2 linked regions of the Rattus norvegicus genome follow. The protein of the gene in region 1 interacts with the protein of each later gene in a pairwise test. Links are inferred from orthologs where the notes say so. Each region holds a gene or a part of one and is shown on either strand. Other genes may lie near its edges.

Evidence for each region.
Region 2: the proteins of Junb (region 1) and Batf interact in binary tests that used the Homo sapiens proteins (3 or more experiments, as listed by UniProt). The link is inferred for Rattus norvegicus from reciprocal best matches to the Homo sapiens genes JUNB and BATF.

The regions. Positions count from the first base shown.
Region 1 is NC_086037.1:40,079,859-40,083,503, forward strand, and holds Junb (transcription factor JunB), read left to right. Parts: upstream 1-1,267; 5' UTR 1,268-1,537; coding exon 1,538-2,572; 3' UTR 2,573-3,052; downstream 3,053-3,645. UniProt on the Homo sapiens protein: Transcription factor involved in regulating gene activity following the primary growth factor response. Binds to the DNA sequence 5'-TGA[GC]TCA-3'.
Region 2 is NC_086024.1:111,083,326-111,087,639, forward strand, and holds the start of Batf (basic leucine zipper transcriptional factor ATF-like), read left to right. Parts: upstream 1-1,391; 5' UTR 1,392-1,626; coding exon 1,627-1,689; intron 1,690-3,933; coding exon 3,934-4,038; intron 4,039-4,314. UniProt on the Homo sapiens protein: AP-1 family transcription factor that controls the differentiation of lineage-specific cells in the immune system: specifically mediates the differentiation of T-helper 17 cells (Th17), follicular T-helper cells (TfH), CD8(+) dendritic cells and class-switch recombination (CSR) in B-cells.

The sequences.
Region 1 (3,645 bases):
AGAGTAGACTATGACTAGAGGCGTACTCAGCTGGATTGTGACTTCCCCAGGGGTCGCTCGCTGGGGTTCCTCTTCCCAGGCGCAGAATTTGGCAGGCCCAGGCTAGGGTGCACCAACCCTTAGGCTCAGAATGACGAGACAGGGCCGGGCTCTTTCCCCCTCCGGGCTATTGCCACACTTCCTGCCTCGGCTCTTTTTCCCTAGCCTGTTTCTAAGGAAGGGAGTGGGGTTGGGCGACCGCACCCCAGCTATCCCGCCTCTTCGGCCCTCCAAAAGCTGACAGGATATCGGGCGAGCCCAGAGTGACTAAGGGGAGGCTTTGGACTCAGGTACAGGGTATGTCAGTGCCTAGAGACCACTTACGAGGTACAGTCTCATTCTTACAAGCCCCTTGTCTCTGGGATCCTCCAAGTCGTCCTCTCGGGTAGATCTCAGATACCCTCCTGGCATCGCCTTTACAGCTCAGAAGGAAGCCATGTCCTGACCATTTTAACTTTCCATCAGAGTTCTGCAAATAATCACAGTGACCCCAATCTTTGCTAGATATGTTCCCATCTTCTACTCCTATTGCCTCAGCGTTTCCAGGACCCTTGTTCACTTTCTGCATATCTAAATTGACCTCCCCAAAATTACTCCCCTTTTCCACTTATGGGAGAACCCTCAGACTCATCTGTGGGCTTTAGAGCCCCTACTCATTTCTTATACAATAGGTACCTGACCCTGCTTCCTGAACCTTCTCTCCCACCTGTTCTTTAAGCACTTTGCACTCGGGGCCTCTAGTTAATTCCTAGGTCAAATGTTAACAATTGCTCCCGTTTTGTACCTTCCCTGTTTTCTGGGGTCTTCTAGTATATTGTCAGTTCACAAGTCACAGCTATTGTGGGTCCCGCGAGACTATTCCGGGTATATCCTGAGGCACCCCATCTCCACTTGCAGTGTACAGAGATCTCATAGCCACCGGGTTGTACTCCCGCAGTCCTAACTCCTATGTGCCTCGGTCCCTCAACATCCCTTTGCTTGAGTGTCTCTGTCTCTACAGCCCCTCCCCCTGCAGCCGCGCAGAGCCACCGGGCTCGTGGCCGCTGTTTACAAGGACACGCGCTTCCTGACAGTGACGCGAGCCGCCTCCTCCCCTTCCCCACGCTCTAGGAGGGGGCCGCGGGGGCCTGGCTCCCGCGTCGGCCAATCGGAGTGCACTTCCGCAGCTGACAAATTCAGTATAAAAGCTTGGGGCTGGGGCCGAACACTGGGGACCTTGAGGGTGGCCAGGCCAGCTTTGGATCCTGCAGGGAGCGGGGAGCTGAGAGAAGAGACGCTGAGAAAGCGGGCGCACCACGGAGGGAGAGAAAAGCTCCAGAAGCCGGGCAGCGCTTTTACGCACAGCTACCAACTGGCCGCTGCCGACCGTCTCCAGCTCCCGAGGACGCGCGACCGGACGCCGGGTCCCGCCACAGCCGAGGACAGCTCGCCGGTCGCCGCAGCGAGGCCCGGAGCGGCCCTTCAGGGGGACCTTTCCCAGATCGCCCAGGCCGCCCGGATGTGCACGAAAATGGAACAGCCTTTCTATCACGACGACTCATACGCAGCGGCAGGATACGGTCGGAGCCCTGGCAGTCTTTCTCTTCACGACTACAAACTCCTGAAACCCACCTTAGCGCTCAACCTGGCAGATCCTTATCGGGGTCTCAAGGGTCCTGGGGCGCGGGGTCCAGGCCCAGAGGGCAGTGGGGCAGGCAGCTACTTTTCGGGTCAGGGATCAGACACAGGCGCATCTCTGAAGCTAGCCTCCACGGAACTGGAGCGCTTGATCGTCCCCAACAGCAACGGCGTGATCACGACGACGCCCACGCCTCCGGGACAGTACTTTTACCCCCGTGGGGGCGGCAGCGGCGGAGGTACAGGGGGCGGCGTCACCGAGGAGCAGGAGGGCTTTGCGGACGGTTTTGTCAAAGCCCTGGACGACCTGCACAAGATGAACCACGTGACGCCCCCCAACGTGTCTCTGGGCGCCAGCGGGGGTCCCCAGGCCGGGCCTGGGGGCGTCTATGCTGGTCCGGAGCCGCCTCCGGTCTACACCAACCTCAGCAGTTACTCCCCAGCCTCTGCACCCTCTGGAGGTTCCGGGACCGCCGTCGGGACTGGGAGCTCATACCCGACGGCCACCATCAGCTACCTCCCACATGCACCACCCTTTGCGGGCGGCCACCCGGCGCAGCTGGGCTTGAGTCGCGGCGCTTCCGCCTTTAAAGAGGAACCGCAGACCGTACCGGAGGCACGCAGCCGCGACGCCACGCCGCCTGTGTCCCCCATCAACATGGAAGACCAGGAGCGCATCAAAGTGGAGCGAAAGCGGCTGCGGAACAGGCTGGCGGCCACCAAATGCCGGAAGCGGAAGCTGGAGCGCATCGCGCGCCTGGAGGACAAGGTGAAGACACTCAAGGCTGAGAACGCGGGGCTGTCAAGTACTGCCGGCCTCCTACGGGAGCAAGTGGCGCAGCTCAAGCAGAAGGTCATGACCCACGTCAGCAACGGCTGCCAGTTGCTGCTAGGGGTCAAGGGACACGCCTTCTGAGAGCCTCCCTTGCTCCATACGGACACCCCCAGCCTTGAAGGCTGGGCGCCCGCCCCCCACTGGGGTGAGGGGGGCAGGCGATGGGCACTCGCCCAGAGGTCTGGGGCGCAGCTCACACACTGGACTCTGGCCTGCCCGCCTGCGCCCAGTCCTTCCACCTCGAGGTTTACATGGCCCCCTTCCAGCGTATTTTGTATGTTTTTTTTTTCTGGAAAGAGACTGAATTCATATTGAATATAATATATTTGTGTATTTAACAGGGAGGGGAGAAGGGGGTTGTCGCGGCGGAGCTGGCCCCGCCGCCTGGTACTCAGCCTGTGGGGATACTAGGGAGGAACCTCCGCCCCCTGCCCTCCCCCTCTGCACAGTACTGTGGAGAAGAAACACGCACTTCGTGTCTAAAGTCTATTTTAAGATGTGTTTGTGTGTGTGTTTGACTTTTTATTGAATCTATTTAAGTAAAAAAAAAGTCTTTATTAATTTCTGTGGTCTCTTTCTTCCAAGCTGGGCGGATGGAGGGAGAAGATTGGGCTGCCCCAAGCCCGGGGCAGTTTGTAGTTCTCTCCTTTCGGGTATCTTAAGGTCCAGTACAAGCGCTCAAACCTCCCATCCCCTGAGTCCTGGCACCAGACGCTGCGCAGGCAGGCAGTGGCCGAGAACAAGCTATCCAGGCCCAGGACAAAACCCGGAATGTGCAAGCACGGCCCCGCCCAGCCCCGTGCGCCGGGGCTTTCCCCGCTGACGTTACGGAAGCGCTGCCCATATATGGGCCTATTCAGCTCAGTGACGCCAGCGCGGTCTCCGGGCAGATTCCGGGAATCCCCTCCCCCTTCTCTGCCGGGCAGGGCCGCGGCGCCGGGAAGGGGGCCGGGATTTTCCCGGGCAGGCGGCTTTCTGGGCGCGGAAAGCCCCAGGCCGGGGTCCAGGGCGCCCGCGGTGGGAGGGCTGTGCTCTCCGGAGCCCTGGGAGCCACCCGAGCGGCTTTTAACAGGCTGGCGCCTGAGCCCCGCCGCGCCCACGCCCCCTCCATTGGACCGACCCTGGCGGAGAGTAACTGCAGCCTCCCTGTAGTT
Region 2 (4,314 bases), on another chromosome or scaffold:
ATGTCAGCTCAGTTGTTTACCGTCTGCTCTCACCACTAACTACAAATTCCACAGGGGTTGAAGTTTTTTATTTTGCTAAGTTTGTCCTTAGAACCATATTGCTGTCAGGCGGAATTTCAGTCAGTGGATACTAAAACTTTAATTAGTGGATAATAAAATGCTTTAGGAGCTATAACATATTGTCAGTCCTCAGGTTAAACAAGGAACATTTGAGCCATACTGAGAATGTAGTGAGAGCTTTTATCTTAATATGTGTGAGTGTTTGGCCTGCACATCGAATGTGTGCCTGGTACCTGAGGAGGCAGGAAGAGGGAGAAGGGTCCCCTGGAACTGGAGAGACAGATGGTTGTGAGCCACTGTGTGGATGCTGGGGACAGAACCGATATCCTCTGAAGGAGCAGCCAGCACTACTAACTGCTGAACATCTTTCCAGGGCCCAGACTTTTTTTTTTTAATTAGCCAAAAGACCCAGATGAAAATAGGATTGTTCACTAAAATCACAAGCATGTTCCTGTCATGGGACACATGGCAAGCACGACCATCTCCACAGGCAGCATGCTTCACAGGGTGGGGGACATTGCTATTCCAATTGTCACCCTCTCGTTGCAGTAACTGAGAGATAGTAGGCAGGTGTGGGGTATGGGTGAGGGTGGGAAGTAGGAATAGGGGTCGGGTGGGCTCTCATCATGGCCGATCTCACTCCAAGTCCAGAGCCTCCGTCACTCATTTTGACATTTTCTCCTCGTTGGGTTCTGACCTCATTGACTCCTGAATACTCAAGGTCAACCTTGAACTCTTGAAAGAGCCTCTCCACAGAAGGTATCTTTTCTCTAGAGAGAATGGGAGTGTCCTGCTAAGTAGACGGGGGATAAATAGTAAACTTCTCTAGCGTCCATTCGAGACTCAGTAGCTCCAACTATCTGTTTGGCCGGCTGTAAAAGGGAGTGCCCTCCTTGCTTTTGTCCCCAGACCACCGCACAGTCCTGTAGGTGAATGAGGAAAGTCAGCCTAAATCAGGGTGGGCAGCGGCTTCGGGTGAAACCCAGAAACGGTTCCCAGGCTCCTTACTGTTATTTAAGTTTTAAAATCAAGGCCTGTGACCTGGAGGCTCTTTCCTGCCGCTCTCTGCCATGTTGACAGCAGAGAACTTGCTAATTCTGGCTGGGGATTTTCCCTAACTGGCTGTTTTTCCTCCTTTACCTTCATCGAATGAAGAGCACTAGCTCTGCTCTCAAACTGCCGGAAGATACTGGGGGTTTGTGTATCTTTTTTTTTCTTTCACCTACTTCTATGGTCTTTTCCCAGATGTGTATTTTCTAGCTACCTTCTTACTTGTTGACGTTTCCGCCCATGTGACTTCCAGCTTGAATTACCAGAAACCACAAGAGAGGGCCTGTGCGCAAGCCCCAAAGTGAGCGAGATGTCCCTGTGGGGAGCAGTCCCTCTGCACCCCAGAGAGAGGAGGACGCAGGGGTCTATCGGAGATAGCTGCAGGACGAGCAGGGGAGGCACCTGTGGAAGGTGGTACGCTGCTGGCCCCCTGGCAGTCAAGAAGGGGAGCTTGCTAGTGAGAAGATCGCCCAGAGGCATCTGGGACAGTGTGGGAGAGTCCGGAAGATTACAACCATGCCTCACAGCTCCGACAGCAGCGACTCCAGCTTCAGCCGCTCTCCTCCCCCCGGCAAGCAGGTATTACTCCCCCACGTCCCCCATGCGCTGTCTTCTGATTTTCCCGGGGTGGTAGAAAAGGGGCAGTCTACTCTCAGCTCAGGGAGCTCTGGCCGGGGAAGGAAGTAGCTCGTGGCAAGAGCTTTCTAGCGGACTCTGGACTTGTGGTGTTTGCTATACAGAGGTTCAAGTGGTGAAGCCTTCGCATCCTGCCACAAAAGTCCCCCTTTCCAAGCGGTACCCCTCATCTCTGCCACTTAGGTTCCCACCTTGAAACTTTCTAGGAAGCTGGGGGCAGGGTGACTATCACAGAGCCTAGAAGTATGGTCAACCGTAAGCAGAGGGATGTTCCAGTAGATCGCTGCCGTGAGCTCCACCCAAATCCTAGAACTTTCCAGAAAGAGCCAAGCGGCAAGACAGGACCGAAGTCAGGAAGAAAGAATAGAGTAAACCAAAGCGAGGAAGACAGGAAAAGAGCGGCAAGATCTGCCCGCAGACTGCCTCTGTAACTAGAGCAGCCAGTGGGGAGGGAGGCTAAAGCTACAACTTGTATCTGTTTCCCCCTGTGGCTTCCAGATAGAAGAAAGAAGCCCATGGACCAGAAGACGCGCTGGAGACCTTCACCAGTAGCTCATATCGGTTACTGAAAATCCGGGGATGGAGGGAAAGATTCTGAGACTCTTACACTCTTGATTGATACCAAGTCTCAGTTTGAGAGATGCCTCTGTTGGGATGCCCGTCCCACCTTGCACTTTCTGGGTCTCTCTTCCACATTCTTGATACTTCTTGCCCTAGAAATTTCTCCTCTTCATCCAGCCTAGACCCATGGATTAAACTTTGTTTTACACCTCAGCTTAAAAACTACATTCTTTCTTTAGCACACATATCGGGAGGGGCTATAGCTCGGAGGTAGAGTGCTAGCCTTACACACATCCAGGGAGCTGCAGAATGCTACAAATAAAATAACTGTATATACTATCTGACCACCTGCTTTCACATCTGTCACAAGCCCCTCACCAAAAGCCATACTGGTGAAGACCTCAAGAAGGAGACAGTCAGTCTCTCGCTCACAGTAGTATCAGGGCAACCCAGGCTGCCTGGAAGATGGTACCCTAGTCTTCTTAAGAAGGAAATTACTTACAGCTGCCATGGTAACCTAGTCCCTTGGCGAATTATATAGAAAGAGTGCATCCTTGCTCTCTCTAACTCAATGTCGGCCTGCTAGAATGACCTGGAAAGTTTGAGTAAAGAGGGAAGGCAGTCAGAGCCTGACCCAAGGATCTTTGCCTCTCAGACCAGTGGAGGTGACAGGGTAGGGGATGCAGAAGGGCTTCTCTTCCCTCATCTTCAAAGGATATACTTAGAGAGCACCCAAAGAGTATTGTGTCCTCCAAGGCACCTATTGGTGGCCCAAAAAGCAGGTGACCTGCACTTCATAAATTGATTTTTTGGTACCTCATTTGTAGTAAGCATCATGTTAAGAACTAGGGAGATCTCAAGATGGTTGTACAAGGAACGAATGAATAAAAGAAAGAGAGGTGCCTTCTGCCTAAGGGTGTATCACAGTGAAATTAATAGTCAGGAGGGAATTCTCAGATGGGATTTAGAAACAGCACCAGAACATGTCATACCCCTGGATGGCATGAGCTCAGTCTGTTCTGTGTAAAACAGAAAAGATGGCAGCCGCTCAGGGAGCTGGGGGATTGTATCGCAGTGCCTCTGAAAGCGCCCGTACAGAAGTCGGCACATGGCAGATGCTCAGCAAAGTTTCCAAAGAAAATAGCAAAAGGAACATCAAGAAGATCCTAGTGCATGCACACATGTGTGCATATACACACACACACACACCTCACATGCACACACATATACACACATGTACACACACTCACACCCCCCCCCCACACACACAGAGTAAGGCTAAAGCAGGTCTGGAGAGAGTAGAAGTGATTGGGGTAGACCTTGTTGTCTTAACTGGTGTTCCCCAAAGCAGCACTTCTGAGGCCTCAGTTTCTCTTCACCTTCCAGTAGCTTTTGGTCAAAAGAAGGCCACGGGAGACCCAAGGGCGGGTAGCAGGGAAAGCTGAAGAAAATGTCTTTGGATGGTACAGAAAGAACTGAGGACTAGGAAGGCAGGCAGGCAGGCAGGCAGGCAGGCAGGCAGGCAGGAAGGAAGGAAGGAAGGAAGGAAGGAAGGAAGGAAGGAAGGAAGGAGTTTTGACTAGAAGAGGAATGATCGGACCTACCCTTGTTACCTCTGCTTCCTAGGACTCATCCGATGATGTGAGGAAAGTTCAGAGGAGAGAGAAGAACCGCATTGCTGCCCAGAAGAGCCGACAGAGACAGACACAGAAGGCCGACACCCTTCACCTGGTGAGTACCCACACTTCCTACCACACTCCTACCCTTAGGTTCTGTTTCCCTCACCGGCAGGGCCGTGGGGCCCAGCTTTGATGAGTCTGCTGTCGTGGGGAGAGTAAAGAGGGCAAGGGCTGCATGGGGTCGGGTGTGGGGAAAGGCTTCCCTCTCCCATGCATACGTTCAGTAACAGAGAACAGTGCTGGAGGCTGAATCTTTCCAGCCCAGGAGATTGCAAGGGTGGATGTGTGGGATGTTGGCAGCCTCGAGGTCTCATGAGAGGCAGAACCA